6 linked regions of the Nothobranchius furzeri genome follow. The protein of the gene in region 4 binds, or shares a complex with, the protein of the main gene of each other region. Links are inferred from orthologs where the notes say so. Each region holds a gene or a part of one and is shown on either strand. Other genes may lie near its edges.

The links.
Region 1: smarcc1a (region 4) and pbrm1l share a complex: the UniProt entries of both Homo sapiens proteins name them as parts of the SWI/SNF-B (PBAF) chromatin remodeling complex. The link is inferred for Nothobranchius furzeri from reciprocal best matches to the Homo sapiens genes SMARCC1 and PBRM1.
Region 2: smarcc1a (region 4) and phf10 share a complex: the UniProt entries of both Homo sapiens proteins name them as parts of the neural progenitors-specific chromatin remodeling complex. The link is inferred for Nothobranchius furzeri from reciprocal best matches to the Homo sapiens genes SMARCC1 and PHF10.
Region 3: smarcc1a (region 4) and smarcd1 share a complex: the UniProt entries of both Homo sapiens proteins name them as parts of the BAF complex. The link is inferred for Nothobranchius furzeri from reciprocal best matches to the Homo sapiens genes SMARCC1 and SMARCD1.
Region 5: smarcc1a (region 4) and smarca2 share a complex: the UniProt entries of both Homo sapiens proteins name them as parts of the BAF complex. The link is inferred for Nothobranchius furzeri from reciprocal best matches to the Homo sapiens genes SMARCC1 and SMARCA2.
Region 6: smarcc1a (region 4) and smarcd2 share a complex: the UniProt entries of both Homo sapiens proteins name them as parts of the BAF complex. The link is inferred for Nothobranchius furzeri from reciprocal best matches to the Homo sapiens genes SMARCC1 and SMARCD2.

The regions. Positions count from the first base shown.
Region 1 is NC_091743.1:66,062,332-66,065,831, reverse strand, and holds part of pbrm1l (polybromo 1, like), read left to right. Parts: intron 1-715; coding exon 716-927; intron 928-1,008; coding exon 1,009-1,200; intron 1,201-1,293; coding exon 1,294-1,451; intron 1,452-1,539; coding exon 1,540-1,782; intron 1,783-2,706; coding exon 2,707-2,852; intron 2,853-2,924; coding exon 2,925-3,082; intron 3,083-3,459; coding exon 3,460-3,500. UniProt on the Homo sapiens protein: Involved in transcriptional activation and repression of select genes by chromatin remodeling (alteration of DNA-nucleosome topology). Required for the stability of the SWI/SNF chromatin remodeling complex SWI/SNF-B (PBAF).
Region 2 is NC_091749.1:34,751,047-34,755,142, forward strand, and holds the start of phf10 (PHD finger protein 10), read right to left. Parts: upstream 2,801-4,096; 5' UTR 2,591-2,800; coding exon 2,519-2,590; intron 1,619-2,518; coding exon 1,512-1,618; intron 1,364-1,511; coding exon 1,233-1,363; intron 977-1,232; coding exon 893-976; intron 813-892; coding exon 688-812; intron 592-687; coding exon 442-591; intron 360-441; coding exon 250-359; intron 1-249. Other genes in the region: rab4a (ras-related protein Rab-4A), read left to right, coding at 3,247-3,262, 3,922-4,002. UniProt on the Homo sapiens protein: Involved in transcription activity regulation by chromatin remodeling. Belongs to the neural progenitors-specific chromatin remodeling complex (npBAF complex) and is required for the proliferation of neural progenitors.
Region 3 is NC_091743.1:58,849,879-58,853,378, forward strand, and holds part of smarcd1 (SWI/SNF-related matrix-associated actin-dependent regulator of chromatin subfamily D member 1), read right to left. Parts: intron 3,084-3,500; coding exon 2,961-3,083; intron 2,333-2,960; coding exon 2,216-2,332; intron 2,094-2,215; coding exon 1,992-2,093; intron 1,899-1,991; coding exon 1,737-1,898; intron 995-1,736; coding exon 897-994; intron 726-896; coding exon 590-725; intron 1-589. UniProt on the Homo sapiens protein: Involved in transcriptional activation and repression of select genes by chromatin remodeling (alteration of DNA-nucleosome topology).
Region 4 is NC_091745.1:65,024,658-65,027,961, reverse strand, and holds the end of smarcc1a (SWI/SNF complex subunit SMARCC1), read right to left. Parts: coding exon 3,256-3,304; intron 3,111-3,255; coding exon 2,935-3,110; intron 2,813-2,934; coding exon 2,678-2,812; intron 1,669-2,677; coding exon 1,284-1,668; intron 1,057-1,283; coding exon 931-1,056; intron 817-930; coding exon 725-816; 3' UTR 501-724; downstream 1-500. UniProt on the Homo sapiens protein: Involved in transcriptional activation and repression of select genes by chromatin remodeling (alteration of DNA-nucleosome topology).
Region 5 is NC_091750.1:37,848,340-37,851,839, reverse strand, and holds part of smarca2 (probable global transcription activator SNF2L2), read right to left. Parts: intron 3,016-3,500; coding exon 2,885-3,015; intron 1,487-2,884; coding exon 1,429-1,486; intron 1,285-1,428; coding exon 1,187-1,284; intron 1,067-1,186; coding exon 919-1,066; intron 1-918. UniProt on the Homo sapiens protein: ATPase involved in transcriptional activation and repression of select genes by chromatin remodeling (alteration of DNA-nucleosome topology).
Region 6 is NC_091756.1:35,532,469-35,535,968, reverse strand, and holds the end of smarcd2 (SWI/SNF-related matrix-associated actin-dependent regulator of chromatin subfamily D member 2), read right to left. Parts: intron 3,045-3,500; coding exon 2,947-3,044; intron 2,740-2,946; coding exon 2,604-2,739; intron 2,523-2,603; coding exon 2,400-2,522; intron 1,527-2,399; coding exon 1,425-1,526; intron 1,341-1,424; coding exon 1,287-1,340; 3' UTR 284-1,286; downstream 1-283. UniProt on the Homo sapiens protein: Involved in transcriptional activation and repression of select genes by chromatin remodeling (alteration of DNA-nucleosome topology).

The sequences.
Region 1 (3,500 bases), on a different chromosome or scaffold from region 4:
AACAGATTTTACACAGGATAGATGGAATAGCTATAAACTGTAGTACCTTACCACAATCGGTCTTATTTTCACTAGAGCGAGTGAAGCTTGGCTCACACACAGGAAGATCCAAACTCAGCCTTTAGTGTCGTTTCGCTGATAGGATCCAGAAAACGGTTACCAAACTTTTATAGTGCATTAATTATAACAAAATCCTTTATTTGATGTATTCCAGCTTGTTTATCTACGTTTTTGGTCATAGGATCTAAAGGTAGACCGATAGAATCGGCTTTACATCGGCCTGATATATCAGGCACATCTTCGGGCAGCCCGATGCTGCTACAGCATTTAATTTAAATGCAGTTGTATGTTCACTAATAACATCTGGATAATAAATACTGACAGTGCACAAAGTTAAAGAGACGATATGTAGTTTTTATCATTAATCTCTGGAAATATACGTCAAAATGTTGGAAAATACTGGCAGCTTTGTTACACGTAACCATAAAAACTGGGTCTTAAATACACGGGAGCGGGTCTAAGTCTCTGAGCGACGCCAAATTAGACGCCAAAATAAGGTAGCGACCTCTATTAGGATCTGCAGGCAGACGTGGTGATTGCGTAAGGCTTCGACATAATCACATACTTTATGTATTTACCAGATCAGCTTGGAAAAACGTAACTCTTGCAAAGCGAGCCGGTGAAACGTGCCTCTGTGTCTTCTCTGGGCTCGCAGGACCGACTCCGAGGTGTTTGACGATGCTGTGGAGCTTCAGCAGTTTTTCATCAAGATCAGAGACGAGCTTTGTAAGAACGGAGAGATTTTGCTCTCCTCCGCGCTCAACTACACCGTCAAGCACCTGCACAGCGACGTGGATCAGGAGAAGAGGGAGAAAATTCCCCGAGAGGTCGAGGAGGATAAGAAGAATTTAGAGGAGGAGAAGAAAGGTTTGGAAAACATTTGGCACAAAACGTTGGGTGTGGAGAGTGTCGCACGTGTCGCTGAACTTTCACGTTCCTCACTTTTAGAAGAGAAGAAAGCAGAGGAGTTGCCAGAAGAGGAGTGGCAGCCTGAGTCTGAGTCTCAGCGTGTCTACGTGCAGGTCTGCAGCTTTGAAAACGTCACCTACCACGTAGGAGACTTCGTTTATGTGGAGCCGTCGGAGCCCAACCTGAAGCCTCACATTGTTTGTATCGAGCGTCTGTGGGAGAACGAAGCGGGTAACCGAGCCTTTACCTGTTAACTGTTTGTTTCTCTCTTATAAATCTGTGTCTTAAGCTTTGTATAAAATCACTTTTTGTGTGTGTCTGAAGGTGAGAAGTGGCTCTATGGCTGCTGGTTCTACAGGCCCAGTGAAACTTTTCACCTGGCCACTCGCAAGTTTCTGGAGAAGGAGGTGTTCAAGAGCGACTACTACAACAAAGTGTCCTTCAGTAAAGTTCTGGGCAGATGTGTTGTGGTTTTTGTGAAGGCAAGACTCTCCTTTAAACTCAACGCCCGACGTAAGTGACTTGTTTTCTGTAGACACGAGAATTCGAACCTCTTTCTGGTTTCTGTAGGATTATTTCAGAATGCAGCCTGAAGGTTTTAAAGCCGAGGACGTGTTCGTGTGCGAGTCACGCTACACGGCCAGAAATAAGATCTTCAAGAAGATCAAGATCTGGGCCATGCCTGAGAGTTCAGCGCAGATGGTTCCGCGAGAGGTTCCCCTTCCAGTGGTCCGTGTTGCTTCCATGTTTGCCAAACCGGACCTGGAAAAGTTGATGCTTTCATTCTCGGATGGTGGCAGTTTTGTGGACAAGGTGAGGTGACGTTACATAATAGTTGGTCTGTTTGATGTTTACAGAAATGGATTAATCGACCTTTAGTCTTTGTTTACTTGTATTTATCCAATAGGAATCAAGCTTAAGCTACTTTTACTTTCAATGAAGTCTTGAAGATAATAAAAAATATTTTTTTGTTTGTTGGATTATACCAGACGTCACAAATAAACTACTATCAGAGGTGCAGCAGGAGATGTTCTTCTGGAGCATCTTTAGCCATATTGTTTGAAATGCTCCACACACCAATGCCGACTAATAATCTAAACGTTTTGTCAAAAAATGAATCATTTTAATTTACCCTGAAGGGTACGGTCCTGGAAAATCCTCATCCAATCATTGTTCTTCATGATTTGATCGTGGTCTTTCCATCAAGCTGCTCCTCTGAGGTTTTCCCAGACTGTCTGTGGCGCTGAGCTGCTGTGATTTTACAGTTAAAAACAAACAAGATTGCTAAAAATTCCTTTTTTTTTTTTGCCCAACACTAACTTAGCTAGCGTACGTAGTCGTATATGGTTATGTAGGTGTGTTATGCTACGAATTAAGGCAGAAAATGGACCAACTGAACCTTATGCCTTCTTTTCTTCTGGAGGCGTGGCCGATGGGAGAAAGGGGGTTGGACCTCAGAGTTGTGTTAATTCAAAGAGCAGCTTGCACAAATAGCCAGAAAAGTATCTGGTGATGCACCTTAAACTCCACAAGTCCTGCAAAACTGGACTGCTAGACTAACAGTTGCAATCCTTAGAGGTTTATCGCTCAAGACAAATGGTGTCACTTTGCCATTACTACGGGGTATTAATTAAATGATCATCTGGTAGAATACAAGTCCTGACAGAGCTGAGTGGCACGTTTCGAGGGTATCTAAATGTAAACACTCCTCCTGTGTGGTGATGTGAATTCGTTTAGGAGAAGGAAGACGTCCCGATGGAGACGAGCGGGTCAGAACCTGGCTGCCAGCACTATGAACAGCTGCGCTTCAACAGCTCCTGGTTTAAAGTGGGCGACTTCGTTTACATCCGGTCCCACGGCCTGTCCAAACCTCGGGTTGCCAGGTGGGTTAGGAGGACTTAATAAAACGGTGCTGGTGCTGTTTTGGGTTTGATCGTCCTCTGGTTGCTCTGCAGGATGGAGAAGCTGTGGGTCCAGAATGGAGCCACCTTCTTCTTTGGACCCATTTTCATTCACCCTGAAGAAACGGAGCACGAACCCACAAAGATGTTCTACAAGAAAGAAGTGTTTCTGAGTCAGCTGGAGGAGACCTTGCCCCTGACCTGTGTCATAGGTATTACTAAATCGTTCTCTTTAATTAAATAATGACGTGTGTGTGTGTGTGTGTGTGTGTGTGTGTGTGTGTGTGTGTGTGTGTGTGTGTGTGTGTGTGTGTGTGTGTGTGTGTGTGTGTGTGTGTGTGTGTGTGTGTGTGTGTGTGTGTGTGTGTGTGTGTGTGTGTGTGTGTGTTGGGAACCTTTTGATGGCTTAGTATATTAAAACCAGCATTAAATGTTGCATAAGGTTAAGAAGTGGTCTGACATTTAAAGCTAATTAAAGGGAGTTTTCTCAGATGTGAAACGATCTCTGTAGGGTGCCGCTTCTCAGATTCAGTTAAAATGACAGATTTTATCCTTTCAACAGTTTAATTAAGCTCAATTCTGCCCACAGGCAAATGTGTGGTCTCCTCTTTTAAGGACTACCTGTCCTGC
Region 2 (4,096 bases), on a different chromosome or scaffold from region 4:
AGCCCAGGCTCTGCAGTTTTGTTAAGAGGTGCAGCTTGATAGTTATTGATGCATAAATTGTGATGCTAAAACATTTCCAGCCCTCAGTTGGGGAATGCACAGGATCAAAGGGTTACATTTGTAACACGTTATTTCAAAGCAGTGGATCTACAGTAAAATTACAGTAGAACACACAAAGAACATATAATAAAATAAAAAATAAAGGAACATTCAAAGTATTTTTAAAATGTTGTTTTGTATGAAATGTACCTTTTGTAATAATCTTGGAACTGTCCTGGAATGAGAGCAACAGGATAAGGTCCTGTTCTGGTCAGCTCCGGAGCCAACACCTTGAATCTGCCTTGTGGCACCTGAATAATCTAGGATCAAAATAAGACATAAATCTTAAAACACAGCTGGTTAGCGCTGTGTCATTGTTGAATGTTTGATGTTGTATTTTACATGAGTCTGGAGGTCAAAGTACGCTCTCCGCTCCTCCATTCGCTCCCTGTTGAAGTTACTGTTGAACTCTGCAGCTTTTTTCGCTGCCTCCTTTATGTACTCAGGAACTTTACTTGCCTCCACCTTCTGAGGGTTCTGCTGCTGCATTTGCTAAAACATGACAGAAAACAATACAAGAATTAAGACCATTTTAAAAAATATTTATCAAAGCAACCATACCAGACATCCTGTTTATTCCTCACTTACAGAGTACTCTTTAGCTATTCTCTGTCGCTCCCTTTCCTGCAGAATGACTGAATACTCTGAGTGTTTGGTGGGATACTCTTTTATCATTAGATCGATCACTTCATCACTCCGCAGAGCTGTGAGGCCTGCAGACATGAATGCAGCAGGATAAAAAAATGAAGTGAGACTAAGTGTGCATGTAAAGTTAAGAGATATTATTCCTTACCCAGAGTGCATTGTGTCTCCGTGATGACATTCTGCTCACGAAGATAGAGCTTCTCCTTGTGGGACAAGTCTCTCCTTTCCATGTCTAAAAAAATCATAGATAAGAAATAAACTAAATCATAATAAAAAAAAATGAGTGCAGCTTCATAAAAATAGATCTAACATGGAGTCTGAGCCACTTTGCCCCTTGTTTATATAATCAAAAAGCACAATAGCTCCTCTACAACAGCTTATCACAAATATTATTTTGAAGTTTTACTTGAACAAATGCATTCATACAAAATCATTTTGAAAAAAGGAACAGAATTCCAGCTTGAACACAAGGATCCTCTCAGCCTCACCAGGATACTTCCTCTTGAATGACGTCACTCCCAGATACTCGCTGACCTGCTCCTGCAGCATGTAATATTCTCCTGTTTCATCAGCAGGCCACTTGTACTCCGTCAGGTTTTCTGCTGGGAAATATGTTGGCCTGAACAAAAAAAAAAATCCACTTTAGGAATAAAATTGCACATTCTAGAGTACAACACCTGGGAAAGTTTGACAAGTAAAGTGTGTTTTAAATTTAACAATATTGTGTAAAACATGACGGTAAAAACTAGATTAAAGCACCCTCTTACCCAAGCTCTTGATTGAAGGTATCGCAACTTCGAGAGCTGTCCCCCGAACCCATTCTCCTTCTCTTAGGTTGGCTGCCATCATTGGACACTTCCTCTATTACATCCTCCTAAAAACAGGAAAAAAGCTCTTCATTAAAATAAAAAAAAAAAACATGCTGAATGTTTTTATCTTTATCAAAAGTTCTAATTTATTTCAACTTTTGCTGCTTTTTACACATTTTCTGCCCAGTCATGTAACAGCAGAATAAGAGGTGATTAAATATTTAAAAAATTGTCAGGTTTCAAGAGATGTATACATCAGGTAAACTATTCCTGAAAGTCACAGTGCTTAAGAAATATAAATCTATCCTGGAAAAACCTGACAAAGGACCATGAAAGTAGTTGTTTACAAAAGACTTGAGTGTTTCCTCTGTACCCAAATCAGTGAAAATGAATGGAGGGCAACCAAAACCTGAAATGCAATACAGCTGCATCATCAACTTTAGAGGCATTAACCTCTAGAATAATAGGGTTCAAACCCTCTGGCTTGAGCATCACTTCTAAAAAATGAAAGTTTATAGAAACTACTGTACATATTAGACAAGACCATTTCCCTGACAAGGTAGGATTAAAAGACTCGTGTGTTGTTTGCCAGTTCAGGGTTACTTCATACATTTTTTATTTTAAATGAGCCACTGCAAAACATGATTTATGAGTGATATAATAATTCATTACCTGTAAACAACTCACGTGTACAAAACGTGTTATTTTAGGAAAAACAAGTATAAGTTTCATTAGATATAAAATAAAAGTAGAACTTAAAATAGAGAAATTAGCAAATAATGCATTTTGAGGTTACGTTTCGTTTTTATACGAGTCAAATTACACAGGCGACTTTTCAACAACTGAAAGGTAAATTGAATAAACTGAGCACACATGAAAACAAAGAATGGACGCTAATACGGCTAACGGGGTCATTCGTGGACACAGGCTGAAGCATGAAGCAGTTTAAGGAGTGTGAATGTCACCTTTAAAGATTGCGCTCCTGGGGTGGCAGGATTACTATCGCAAGGTGGTCTAATGGGGAGCACAGTAGCCATATTTCGACAAAATAATGTTCCGCAGCTAGGCTAGTTCACTAGCTTGAGTCTGCGTTTCTTCTTCTATGGTAAAGCCTTCGGTTTAGAAAGCGAACTCTCCTGGCCTGGATCGGTGATAGAGGTGAAAAACGTTTTACTTTTAAATACCAAATATTCCGATCATGTATTAAAATCATGTGAAATCGGTTTTGGTCCTTTAACGCAAGGTTATCACAGCAGAACAATTTTTAAAATAGTTGTCTAGCTGCAGTCAGCCAATCACAGTGACCACTACTGCCGCCTACTGGTCAATACTTGCACGTATAATCCTTCAAGTTGACAACAATAATAAGTAATATATCTGGTCACTAATTATTACAATGTGGATGTTTCTTATTTGTGATTATTTTTTACATCTATAATAAATCATGATTTTAACGTTTCTGGAGACTTAATAACAGCTCCATAGTGAGGCGAAAACTATATAGTGCATCACAGTGTCGGTCATGGAAGGACTTTTACTTTGAAAGGAAGAACCTACGGGAAGTCGGAAGGAAAAATCAGCTGGAATGCACGGAAATTATCACTGGTGTATTCCTTTACTGAGCTAGCTGTGCATCTGTCAACTTTTATTCCTCCCTTCATTTTGCTTTTGGAATCAAACCGCCACATTGGCGATGTCGGAGTCTTACGGTAAGGAGTCTGCTTTAAACCGAGGCAACAGTTAACGGGTGCCTTCTGGTAGTCAGTGGTAAAGACGAGGCAGGTGTGCCCAGAAGGCGTTTTCTCATCGCAAAAAGATAGCCGACAGGCTAACCGTTTCACCACTCAAGGCTTCTGGCCTTAAAGCAGAGCTGTCAGTCAACTCAGATCATACATCTGGGTTTGATGTAGCTTTTCACACTGAATGTAACGGAGCTTTTGGGATTCTAATCAGAAGAACCGCTAGATACCAGGTAGGGGTAAAGAGGAGGACAGGGCTGGCATAAATTTGAGGCTGAACTGTTCAACTTTTTAAATAAATAACCATTTAATGCTCTCTTTATGTGTATATTTTACATTTGGATCATTCTAAATCTCACAGTAAAATATTATTGCAGCATACAAAATGAGTTGTTTACACCATAAACACAATGAACAAACCTGTGGTTAGTAAGCAGGTGTCCCTGCCTTTATAAACAAACCATCAGGTATTCATGTGTAATATATATCAGCTGGTTTATATCTCAGTTATAAAATAATCTTGATTCAAATAAGATTAGGATTAAGATGAGCTAGTGCCTATGAATGCCACATTAAGAGGGTCAAGCTGAGCTTATGTCTATTAAATGATTGTATTGTTCCCCTTGTAGATTTCCTGTTTAAATTCCTGGTAATTGGGAATGCTGGGACAGGAAAATCCTGTCTGCTGCACCAGTTCATAGAGAAAAGATGTAAGTTCTCTATTATTTCCACTTCTTTCACATTTTTTTTTTTGTGATTGATCATCTAAATGCCTGGCTAATTATTCAGGTTGATCATTTATTG
Region 3 (3,500 bases), on a different chromosome or scaffold from region 4:
GTTACCAAGTTTAAATAAACCAAAAACACCCGGCAGCAAACAGACCAGCATGGAGGAGAGACTGCTACCACCAAAACAGCTCTCCTCGTGTCTGAAAGAAGCTCCTTAATGAAGGGAGAAGCGCTCCCGGTGATTTTCTACATCTGCGGTAGACACGAAGCAGCGCATCTGACCCCGGAAGTTGTTGTCCGTTGCCGGGAGACGAAGGGGCAAAACAGGAAAATAATCTAGTAGTGGACGGACGTTGTTCCGGGTCTTCGGTATTTGGCGGAGATGTTAGTGAAGGCGGAGAAGAGGGCGAACTAGAGGAAAAACAGGCAGATTCCTCCTCTATTTACAAACTCCTGGGGATGCAACAAGTGGGCGCGGTGCGTCGACTTCCGGATCTGACGTCGACAAATTTTTAGAATCGAGCCGTCGACTTCGTCGAGGCTTCGCTACAGCCCTAACTGAAGTAGGACCTCATGTTTTATAAAATACCACCAAACTTCCAAGAAACAACATCATCTGACAGTGGATACAAAACTGTTCCAGCAAATATCTACAAAAAAGAACAGAACAGCTAAAGGCTGGTGGCCGAGGTCCTCACCTTGTTATCCAATCCTGCTATTTCCTGCTGACTAGCAGTAGAGAGCAGGAAGGAGTTCATCTGTGTTTTCAGGGTGTCATCCACCTCCACATCAATGTCATAGCAAGCAGTCTTTTTCTGGTCATTGGGGTCCACGCTAGTGAAATGAAAAGCATCGTTGTGTGCTTGAATTTAACATTTATTCAAGTACTTAAGAGTCGATTTTAAGTATTGAAGATTAATTGTCAAAGCTGCAGAAATAAAATATAAGGGTCATTTAGAGGCAGTGCTGACACTTGACTCTACCCGAAACCAGCGCAATAATTACCTGATCACGTGGTTAATGATGATTGGTTCTGGAGGCATCAGCAGTGCGTGCAATCGCTGAGGGATTTCAGAAAACTTCATCCGCTGGGTCTCAAAAATCTGTGACATCAAAGAATGATGTGGTTTTAGTTTGAATAAATTGCTCTTTTGAAACTGAACACGATGGACTGTGTTTTTTTAGAAGTGTAAAACTAATCAGCAAATCAACACGCAGAACATATCCATTTCCTCTGGACGTAGCTTCTTGAGTTTGTTTATAAACTGGTTTAAATGCTTTATTCTCCCTTTTGTACATCCCTGATCACAACAGTGCAACTGCATCAACAATCTGAGGTTTCATAAAAGCAATCCTTAGTTCACAAGTAAACTTTGTATGAATTCAACAATCTTCTGTTGCTCTTGGCAGGGAAAAGAAAACAGAAGCTCAGAGAAACCAGACAGAGATTCATGAAGAGATTGAGCCACCGTACAAGGACACAGAGAGGGAGACAGAGCGAGAGACAAAGAGATTGGGGACACACACACACACGCGCGCGCGCGCACGCACGCACGCACACACACACACACACACCACACACACACACCACACACACACACACACACACACACACACACACACACACACACACACACACACACACACACAAGACAGAGAGTGAGAGATGGGGAGAGAAAGAGAGAGAGAGTGTTGAATATCAGGAGCAGAAAAGAAACAGGACAGGTCTGGTTGTTGAGGCTAGTTTATGCTGAAACCTTCAGAAATATCATGTTTGTTGTGTTTCATGACAGAAACATTTAATTGTTTTATCTTATTTCTCGAGTGAGCAAAGCCACAACTCACCTGCTGCAGGTATTTGTCACAGTTGATAAACTCGCGCTCGTGTGGGTCTTGGAGTTTGTGTGTTTTGACATACTGCCACAGGGCCTGAATGATGACAGGCCTGGTCTGGGTGTGGATCCCCAGCATGCGGGCCAGTCGGGGGTCCAGTTTAAACTGAGGGGGCTGAAATGATGAAGAAATATATCTCAAGTCAATCAGGCTCCTTGATGAATTCAGACACAATTTAAAAACAACATTCACCCCTCAGAGTGTTACCTGGTAATCAAGCATGAGAAGGACGGTGCAGCGAACACCCACATCCCCAGGCCTCTTCACCTGGAAACCATCAGTCTCCTGGGTGGTGGCAGTTCTATGCCACTGAAATACAAACAAAGCATTTAAAGAAACCAGGTTCATGTAACAACATCATTACATACATCTTAAAATTAGCAGATTAGAAAATGACAATTTTTTTTTGGATAGACGAGAAAGCCTCTAACTTCTACAAGGTGATTATCTGGTCCATAAAGGTCTTTGTCCAACTCGATCACAAGAGACTTGAAGAAAGATGAGAACTTTCGTTTTTGTTTGGTGGCTTCATACTTGGACACGGCTGTCTGCAAAACAACAAACACACATTTAATCTTTCACAGCTTGAAACTTAGTCCTAGATAAACCAAATGACTGCCTTGTGAGTCACTCTGTTAAAAAGAAAAGCCCCAGTGATCCTGTTTCAGGAAGTAGAAGTTAATCAGAGGAGTTGAGGGTCAGAAAATGACATATGGATATGGAGGCTTACTTGTTAATATTCATGATATTTGGACATCTCGCCTCTGATTGGTTTATAGCAACGCAACTCTTCCACTGACTGTTAGCTCAGAAAACTTGGATGTTTTACCTCCACAAATAACACAAGAGTAACCCGAAGATGTTCTGTTGTGGAGTTGCTAATGCTAATAGTTAGCCTGAGACGTGCTCTGCTCTCTCCTGGATGCTAAATAAACAACAGCCAAGAAGGGTGAGTCCATGAATGCTAAATTAGTGTGACGCTGATCTGAGTGTTTTATTCTGACCAGAGTGTTTCCCGGTCTATTTTCCAACAGCGGCTAATGAAAGAAATAAGGCCAGCAGTCTATTTTCACATCCAGCCATCACTCAGAGGGACTGATCATATTTAAAAAATAACATAAAAACAGTTTCACAGTAAAAAATAGAAATGATAAGAATCTAAAATGTGCAGCTTACATCTTCCAAGAGCCGCCCTTCAACACGCAGCTCCCATGATGCAACGGTTCCCTCTCCGTCCTCAGCATCAGGCTTTGCAGGGTTGAAGGTGTTGGATATAAAGATCCTAAGCTTTCTTTTTTGCTGAAAATAAGCATAAAAACAAAAAATCTTTACACTAATATAAACTACTATAGCTCACAATCAGCAGTGACACACAGTTGTTTTAAGAACAAACAAAGATGTTGCAGCTTCATTAAAAACGTGTGTTTTACTGTGCAGAATTCAGTGTTTACTATTGAGTTCACTTAAAACGTCTGTTGGGGAGACTCGACGGCCTCACGACGAGACAAACATCGTTTTGTTCACAGCAACAATAAACGAGTAAACAAGCAAAGGCAACATCTCATAACTATGACACCGAAACTAATTTAGCATACAGATCACAGTGAAAAAAATAAAAACTCACCATACAATCTGACATGTAAACAAGTTTAATGAACGTCTTATTTGATGACCAAGATTGAAGAGGTTTTTAAGTCAAGTTAATGTATGAAAAAG
Region 4 (3,304 bases):
TGACCTACTGGGGACCTTTTTGGCCTTTTTGTTGAATTTCTCAAGATCAATAGGATCAACGAAATTGAAATGTATTGATAAATAAATAGGCACACGCTGCCATCGACCCTCCCTCTGTCTAACACACACATTCACATACACACACACACACACACAGATCTACAGTGTATCATTTAAAGAAGAGCGAGAGGTAGATTCTCCATCAGAACAAGGGCAGGCTGGGAGTTTCGGCTCAGCACACAGAACCCTGAGGGTCTGTCCGGGCCTCTGGTCCCTCTAGCTCCCCCTAGTGTTTGATTTGGAGGAAAGGGAGGACCAGATTTTAAGGGGTTATCTTTTTTTGGTATACAAGAAAAGGCTACAGTGTCATTTACACAACAAAAAAAAAAAACAAACAAAAAAACAGCATTGTTACTGTAAAGAATGAGAAACAATATTTTCTGATGATTTCTGTCTCCTTGTTTGGTTTTCTGGCTACAGCCTCCCGTTTGCCCAACAGAGCAGAAACAGTGTTTATTACTAGATGAACCTCGCCGCTGCGCCCTGAGAGGAAGTCTGCATGTGTGTTTGTGATGTCTGGGTCACTTTTGCTGATAAACCCTGAGTGTGAGTGTGTGTGTGTGACGGAGGGTGACGTTTATGGCAGCTTTAATGGGCAAATGCTGAGTCGTCAAAAGGGGGGCAGAAATTCAGAGATGTGTGCTTTTGTGCGTCTGTGTGGGTCTTAGTTATCAGTGATTCGTCCACTTGGCTGTGCTGCGGGACCCACTGGAGCTGGAGGCAGCACCTCGGGCTGTGCAGGAGGAGGACCGGGGTCTGCAGGGACAGAGAGGCCAAATTTAGATGAAGGAAGACCAAAAGTGGTGGTTTGTGTTCAAAGGTTCAGAACTTTGGTGTGTGTGTGTGTGTGTGGGGGGGCTCTGTACTCACACATGCCGTTGGGGGCTCCAGAGTGACGCGGGGGCATCATGGGAGGCATCCCACCTGGAGGTGGGCCGGCGGAGGGGGGTCCAGGCATCATACGTCCAGGCATCTGCTGACCTGGTTCTACTGGTCCTGCAGTTTTGATTAAGAGACAAAGATCATGAAGAGACGGCTCAAATTAAGTAAAACATTTGCTTCATGTTTTAAATAAGCATTTATCAGTAGCTTTGCTTTAAGACAAATATTTACAAAGTTTTAGTCAAGATTTATTTGAACAAACAAAATTTTATTTAAAAAAAAACATGCTAATATCTCACAGCTACTTTTTTCTCCACAGACTTTATTCTGCTTAGTCTCACCCGTCTGTCCTGGGTGGTGGGGGGCCATAGGGTGGTGGCCCATTGGCGGATAGCCTGGGTGCATTGCAGCGCCTGGTGGGGGACCGCCGTGGTGCGGATGTGGACCTCCATGATGGGGAGGAGGTCCGCTGTGGTGGGGTGGGGGTCCTCCATGGTGTGAGGGAGGTCCTCCATGGTGGGGTGGGGGTACGCCGTGGTGCATACCTGGTGGAGGAGGGCCCGGGTGGGGTCCTGATCCAGGGACCTGTCCTTGTCCTTGGGCCTGAGCGGCAGCGGCAGCAGCTTGCTGCTCCATCTGCTGTCTGGCCTTCATCTCAGCGTACTTCAGCTGCTCCATGTGGAACGCCTGTCTCTCTGTGAGGAGCTGCTGCCTCTGAAGTTCCAACTGCACACACACACACACATTAATGGATGAAGAGGAGTTAAAGACCAGGAAGCAGAAACATTACAAAGACCACAACCAAATAACCCAGAGCTCAGTCAAAGCAGCATTCTTCAAGAACCAGGGGTTTAAAAAATCTGTGTGTGTGTTTGCGTGTGTGTGTGTGTGTATAATAAATTCATTCTGCTCCATTTTCACCACGCTGATGAAGCGGACACCTAAAGGCAACTGAAAGCTCAGACTTGTCCCGTGTTTCTTTGTGGATCCTTTCAGCCTGAGCGTTTACAGCAGCAGCCATGTTGGTTTCCGTCTTGCTCCGTGACAGATTCCTAAAACGTTTCTTTTCGAGCAGCTTTTGCAGCTGTGAATGGGCTGAATTAGGCTTCAGTCCAGATGCTGCCACAAGAAAACACAGTTTTACACTCTCACTAGCATCTCCAGGGACACACACACCAGCTAAATCAGGCTTTTCCCTGGCAGAGCAGCAGTTTAAACAGCATCACTAAGTAGCTGCTCAGCTGTAGATAAAACCCTTTTGGCTTCCTCATAAAGAATTCATGTTTCTTATAAAGACTTGGAGCTCATGGAAAGCAGCTCCACCACGAGGGAACATCTGCTACTGACTAAATATTTACCGGCCACTTGATCAATGAAGCAGTCGCAGGAAAGGGAAAGTTAGACGGCGGGTCACTTTTTGGCATTTCCACAGACAGAACCTAAAGGAACTAAGGTTTGGTTTTCCTAGGATCAGGATATTCTAACACTAACTAACGCTTTCCGATAATAACAGTAACGTCCCACAGATGTGGTCAAGCAGCTAAACAAAAAGGCAGAGCTGCTTCGATTCTAGTTAATCTCTCATTAGCTTGACTCATGTGGCTGATGATAATCGGATGATGTCTGGCAAAGGTGAAGCAGAAGAAGTGTTTGAGCTGCACTGCATTCATTCATGAACGTTTTAAAACTACAAACCTCTGATGATGCTACTAAAACAAACTCCGACTCAACTTACAGCTTCCTTCTCGCGGTCCATGATGGTCTCCAGCTCCTCGAAGTGCCTCAGCTTGATCTCCAGCTTCTTCATCTGGGTCTCCACCAGCAGAGCAACCAGCGACTTGATCTTTCTTTCCTCGACTGCTGCCAGGTGCTGAACAGAAGATTAACGTGAACATAAGCATCTCAGTAGCCCCTAATTTAACTCTGAACTGTTTTCAGTAGAAACTTCTCTGGAAAACAAACACGGATGAATGAAAAGTGACATCTCCTCACCTTGGCCTTGGTGGCGGCGGACGCAAGAGCAGCAGCCGCTGCCGTAGCGATGTTTCCCTCTCCGATGTCATGTTCCAGCTTTTTCCTCCTGTCCTCTCCCTCCTCCATAGCCTCACTTTCCTCCTTCTCCTTCTCCTGATCAGGAGAAGTCTTCATTGGTTCCTCTTTTTCCTTGTCTGAATAGGGAAGGAAACATTTTTAACCTGCTGTCAGAAGACAATCAAATATTTTTTTTCCTATTTTAACTGAAGTTTTAAAAGATGAATACAGAAAAACAAATCCCAGCACAAGCTGGGATTGTTTTGTAAAGATCACCATTACCTGCAGAAGCCGTTTTAGACTCCTCTCCTTCGCTCTCCTCTTCGTGCTC
Region 5 (3,500 bases), on a different chromosome or scaffold from region 4:
CCGCGTCTGTGAAACCTCGCTCCCTACAAGCTCAACTCCCGAATCCAGCTGACCTGTCTGACATTCGGTACTATATTGAATTATCATATGATCACATTCTCTTTTTGTTGGTAAAACTCAAGAAAAAAAATTTTTTTACTTGGTTTTTTTAGTTTTATTACAAAAAGTGCATTTTATGATGAAATTGATGAAAAAAAACAAGAATTTCTTGATATTTCGCATAGAAAAATACCGCGAATCAGTGAAAAATACCGCGAATCTGCGAATTCCCCCTGAAAAATGCTCCAAAGAAAAAATCCGCGAAGCAGCGAATCCGCGATGAACGAACCGCGAAGTAGCGAGGGATTACTGTATGGACAAAACCAGAGGTCATGGGACTTTGAAGAGAAGGGAGGATGGCTCTCCCGGAACAGGGCGGACCCGACGGTTCCACTGTGCCTAATTGTTATTGTTGTTGTATCTTTTGTACCTTAACAAAACTTTCAATAAAAAGAAAATATTAAAAAAATAAAATAAAAAATGAAAAAAAGAACTGATACCGATGTAATATCCTGCGGGAATGGAGTGGTGGCCAGTTAACGAGTGGGTACAGATCACAATGACGAGTAGTGAAAGGGGCACCAGTGACCAAACGGGTTGCTGAGTGATAAACGACGTCCAGTTTATGAAGAAGGTTTTTGGATGCAGTTCTATAAATGATGTCACCGTAATCTAAGATGGAAGGATTGTCATTTTGACCCAGGTTTGCTTTGCAGAATGAGTAAAGATGACCTGTTGCTATAGAAACCCCATTCTTGACTGTAGCAGAACCACGAACATGACAACAGCTTTAGCATAGGTGTAGGTGTGTGTGTGTGTGTGTGTGTGTGTGTGTGTGTGTGTGTGTGTGTGTGTCTGTATACGTGTGCGCGCGTGTACCTGATACTGTTTGAGGGTGCCGTTGATCAGGAGCGAGGACTGCCTCTCCACCCTCTCGATGACAGCATGGGCCACACCGTAGTAGGACTGGGAGCTGGTCTGCCCGGTGGGAACGCTGTACTCATCATCCACATCTTGTTTGGCTGTCCTGGAAGTTTGAGAGTTTAAATTTTAATTAGAATAATTTTAGCCCCAAAATAACTTTTTAATGAAAACGTTTCTCTAAACAGATGTAAGATAGTCTGATAATAAAAGGAAACTTAATTACTCGATGATATTTTTGGCCTCCTTCACGTTCCCTTCTTCTCCGTTGGGACCACGTTTCTTCTTCTCTTCCGTTTCTGCCTTGGCCATCTCATCTTCTTCCTTAAAGGTTAGAGGATAACAAATATCAAAGAGCATGGTAAAACCCAAGCACACGGGCGGGCTGCGCCCCCTGGTGGAGCATCATGTTCTCACACACAGCTGATGTAACGTGAGAAGAGCAGAGGTTACTAGAAAGTCACCAACCTCCTCCTCAAACTCCGAGCCACTCTCCTCGCTGTCGGATCGCGGGGCGACTTCATAACTATTGAAAAAATAAATAAAGGTCCAGTTATCCACAATCCAAACCTCACAGAACTACAAAACTATTTAAGATCATAATACAGATAATTATTTGCACCACTTAGTCTGGTAAAACTTCCTGGTTTCCAGAATAAAACATGCCAGGTGACCAACTCATGAGATGTCTTTGTTTCTGGGACGCCCCTCTGCGTCTGTAATCACCATCATTTGGACAGATTCCAGCTCTGTACCAGATCGGCTGCTTAACGGCATTTCGGGAATGTTATTGGGAGTAAAACTTCTATTCAGTTCAGTTTATTTCTAAAGCGCCAAATCACAACAAGAGTCGTCTCGAGGACCTTCACATAGTAAAAAATCCATCACAGGTCAGGTCATTAAGCCAACCGGTAACAAGTTTCCTACATAAGGAACCCAGCAGGTTGCATCGAGTCACTGACTAGTGTCAGAGTCTTTACAGCAATCCTCATACTAAGCAAGCATGCAGCGACAGTGGAGAGGAAAACTCCTTTTAACAGGAAGAAACCTCCAGAGACTCCTGGATCAGTATAAGCAGCCATCCTCCACGACTCACTGGGGATGGAGAAGACAGAGCGTGCGCGCATGCACGTGCGCACACACACACACACACACCATATATACCAAACATTTATATGGTTACATTGTGATTTGTTAGTAAATAATCTATTTGGTGAGAGATAAACTTTATTGTATTTATTATAGTGGATCTATAATTAAACGGGTAAACTGGTAGTAGCACATCCAACGTCAAAGAGAGTAAAATGTTATTATCAGGAGAGGGAGAATGTTTAAGTGGTTAAGCCACCACAGCTCAGCAGAGCATCATTGTAGCTTCTTCTGGGGAGAAAAACACTTAGAGAAAAAATAAAAGTTAACAGCTGAAATAGCAGAAAATAATACAGTTAAAGAGCAGATTGTAGTAGAAAGTAGTCGAGTGTGGAAAGTGGTCAGTGTATCCTCCAGCAGTCTAAGCCTATAGCAGCATAACTAGAGCTGCATGATGGCGCAGTGCTTAGCACTGTTGCCTCGCAGCAAGAAGGGTGCAGGTTCGAACCCGGCTGTGGTCTTTCTGCGTGGAGTTGTATGTTCTCCCCATGCATGCGTGGGTTTCCTACGGGTACTCCGGTTTCCCCCACAGATCACAACATGCCCTATAGGTTATACATTGTGAGTCGCTTTGGATAAAACCCACATAAATAAACATAAACTACAGAGATAACTCTGGATAACCTAGCCTTTTAGATTTGTTGTCCAGCAGAACCGGCTGTTAGGATGTGGATCACGAACCGCTGAACCTAAATGAAGTTGGACCAGCAGGACAACCGGAGACTCGCTGACCGACACATCCAAGACACAAACAGCATCAGTTCTGTCTCCTCACCCTGGATTCATCTCCAGCCAAGCCTCCAGCTGGCTGGATTTGGGTGCATCCGTCCCCTGCAGAACTTTCCCCGTCTCCGTCTGAATGACTTTGACTGGCAGCTCACTCATTTGGCTGCTTTCATCCATCAGCTGCAGAAAAACACACAACACACTTTCAGCTTTGAGAGCAGAACAGGCCTTCCTCCTACAACAGCTCGGCCTTTAACTGGTTTATTTCAGTTTTAAACGTCGCTGAAGCTGCAGATGGGGAAAACACAAAAAAGGAGGCAACAGTTAAACGGCCGAGTTTTAAAACGTCGATGTGATGATGTCACTTTGCTTTATTGAGTCACTCCTGCTGACGACAACAAGAAAAGGTCGAATAAAGTGTCCAAACAACTCAGATTGGTTTGAACTTTCATTAAAGGTTAAAAATCTCAGCACCACTTGTGTGTTTATCCATCTCTTCATTAGAATTGATCCATTTTCATCTGTTTATCCAGGGTCGGGGTGCGGGGGCAGCAGCCTAAGCAGAGAAGCCCCGACTTCCCTCTCCCCAGCCACTCGGGCCAGCTCCTCCGGGGAGATCCCAAGGCGTTCCCTGACCAGTTCAGAAAAATAGTCCCTCCACTGTG
Region 6 (3,500 bases), on a different chromosome or scaffold from region 4:
TTAGGAAGTACACATTATAGAACAATTAAAAATACTATTTTTGATTTTCTGCCACACAAGCCAATACCACGTCTGAAGCATTAAACAAGAGTCACCAGACAAGCTGAGACACGGCTTCCTAAAGACAGTTGGTTGTATCAGTCCCGGGCTTTATTTGAGGAGCGTTGTTTGAGTAAAACCAGACATTCCTGTTGGAACTGCTGCCCTCGTGAAGCATCTGAGCGCAGCGACCAGCCTCAACATGCACAGCTCCCTGATCCAAGCACACACCTCAATAGCTCAGTGCAATATAACGTATATGTAATGTAGGTTTCTGTTTCAGATATAGAAAATAACCAACATTTGCAAGTATATTTATTGTGAAAAACACCTCAAATGTAAAAAAAGATTTTTAAAAAAGCTTTTGAATCAAAAACATGCAAAACACGGAAGCTGTACAAAAGTACTTGTACTACACACTTCTCAAATTCAATTAATCAACTTCACAAAACACATTTTGGCACAAATACACGGAATGTTTCATAAGACTGCTTGTAAAAAAGCTTTTTCCCCATACACACACCATTTTTTTATCTGACACCACAGCTGCATTCCTGTTTATAATCAATAGCAAACCTCTACAAAGGCTGTGAAAATTCATTTTTGTGGTCCTCAAACAAAAAAGTAAATAAAAAAAACATGTAAACCTTCAACATATAAACAAGAGCTGCTAAAGATCAGAGGAACAAAGAAGGCTGTATAAAAACAGCTTCTCATAAATCACCACAGGCATGACGTATTTCCTGATTTGATGTTTTTATGTATTAAAAATATGACCTGAAAGTGTTTTAAGGGTTTATCTTAAAACTTACATAAAATATAGATTCAAACACTCTTCAAGGACATTTCAATAGGCATGTAGTACAACTACATATATATGGGATAAACTGATTAAGGATATTTTTTAGACATCAGGCACTGTCAACATTTAAATGTTACAACTTTTAGAAAATCACACAAAACATCAGCGTGGGAAAGCAGAATCCTTTACAGGACCAGTGTTCAAACAGTTTTCAGCATTTTGTACCGCGAGTAAAAAAAAAAAAGAATAAAAAAGACAAAAAAGTAAAAATGATTTGAAAAGGCTCCAAATGAAAAACCATCCAAGGCAAACACGTTACAAAAGGACACATAAATCATCACTTTGGTCCCATTAGTAAATAAGTATGGCTTAAGCTGCGATCATGGCTGTCTCTATTCCAGTTAAACAAAAGCAAACGCAGGCAAACTCCTCTGGAATCTGGCCTTTAGGTCAGTCGGATCCCCAAAACTTGCTCCAGCTCCTGCCTTCTCTGCTGCACCTGAAACGGAGAAGGAGTACCTCTGGTTCAGATACAGATGACTAAAATGTGCTGTTCTGAGCTCTGGGATCTGTCTTCACTTACTTTGGAGTAAACGTATCTGCCCACTGCTTCTGGGACCCAGGGCGCCTCGTAGAACTCGGTCCTCCTCTCCTCCTCTGGGTTTCCGCTCACGTCTGTCATCAGCTGATTCAACAGAAATGCAACAGTGAACACAACAACACCAACAAGATGCCCCAAACATGCCTTTCATTTTCTTATCTACAACTGCATCTTGCTGAGATGTTGCTTAAGGCTCAGGAGGTTTGTAAAGCTACAGGAACACAGAACAAAGCTGTGGCTTCTGAACGAACCATGAACCATGTCAGGTGAGGGAGGACAGCTTTGACTTCTTAAACAAATTTAAAAAAAACAAGGTGGGGTGAAATCTGTGTTGACAGGAACCCAGACATGTAGATCCTTCTGATCTGATCATTTCTAACTGCTGGCTGGAACATTTATCTTTAGACGTGTTTCGGCTCGCTTTAGGAGATCAACCCTCCACCACCTGCAGCAGAATGCTTCCTGATTAGCTCTCTGAGCACATGCCGGCAACAAGGTGCATCCGTTTACTGGCTAAATATGTTAGAATGAGTTCTGTGCTATTGTGTCACATTATATAATGTAAACAAACGTAAGAATGCTGTAATCCCCATAATGAATATCACCTTAAGCAACATTTAATGATGAGTAAACACTGCAGATTCCAGTGGGACAGATTTGAACTCTTATGGCGAAGGAGTAAAAAAACAAACCCAATAAAACCTGACTTCCAGGTTAAGGAGAATGTTCAGAAAACTAAAATATTTTTGCCGTCTAAGCCGTAAAGGAAATCTAAACGAGTCAAGATCTAAACACTTGATTTAATCAGATAAAAAAAAACATAGGAACTTCATTTTACCCTGTCTCTGCTATTTAACTCAACTTCATTTCATTTTATTTAGTTTGTCCTGAAATGAGGGACTAAAATAAGACAAAAGAGTCACGATAACATGGTAGTTGCAGCAGACATTTCTTTACCTTCAGATCTCTGCTCTGAGACTTCAGCCAGTCTTTGATGAACTCTTGTGGATTATTGCTGAAGCTCAGCATGAAGTCTCTCTCAGTCTTGAGCTGGTTGATGTACTCAATTGTTTCATGAATCTGAACATAAACAACAAAGGAAGACGTTTCAGGTTTCTACAGGCTCGTTTCATTTTAGTATGAATCCAGATTAGACCCGACCTTCATCTCAAGAGTAGCGATTTCCTGTTGGTTGGTGGTGGAGGACAGAAAACTGTTCATCTGAGCTTTCAGAGGGTCGTCCACCTCCACGTCAATATCATAGCAGGCTGTTTTCTTCTGGTCTGTGGGATCCACGCTGCTCAGGGAACAAAGGAGTTGGTGGTGACTACAGGACGGGTTTATACCTTATCTCAGCTCAGAACCAAATAGAAAGTGTTTCTAAGGTTCTACGTACATCTGTGTTTATTAACTGTAGGAGCAGCTATGAACCTTATTCACCAAGTGTGGTGACACTGTGTGTCTGAAAGCAGAGATTGTCTGAAGCTGTAAGATGAGACCCTACCTGATGATGTGGTTGATAATAATAGGGTCAGGATGCTGCAGCAGGCCCGCCAGCTTCATGGGGATCTCACTGAACCTCATGCGTGGACAGCTGAAGATCTGAACACAATTTTATTAAACCGCATTAGCACTTAAGACAGGTGATGTTAAAAAACACTGATAACTAATCCATCAGAGTTCATATCCAGCCCTCTAAAGCTAAGACCAGGACTACATGAGTCCTGTTTCCATTTTAGGAGTTTAGGGGACGGGGAGAGCAGCTGTGTGAAGTAAAAAGTGCCGTTCAATGACCAGAAGAAGCTGTTTTTGACAAAGCAGTGTGGATAATGGCGTTGTGGGGGATTTCCACTGCATTATATGCGTTGAACCTTCAGAAACTGCAATTTCAAAGCAGCATTAATGCTGTTTGCTTTCTTTCACTTCCACTCATCTTCACCAACAACTCTTCCCATTTTTGAAAAGGCCAGTTATTTGGCGAATACAACCAATCAGCGTGAGTTAAAAACAAGCCCGCTCAGCGGCTCTACCAGCCGAGTACCTACCCCAGCTCAGGTA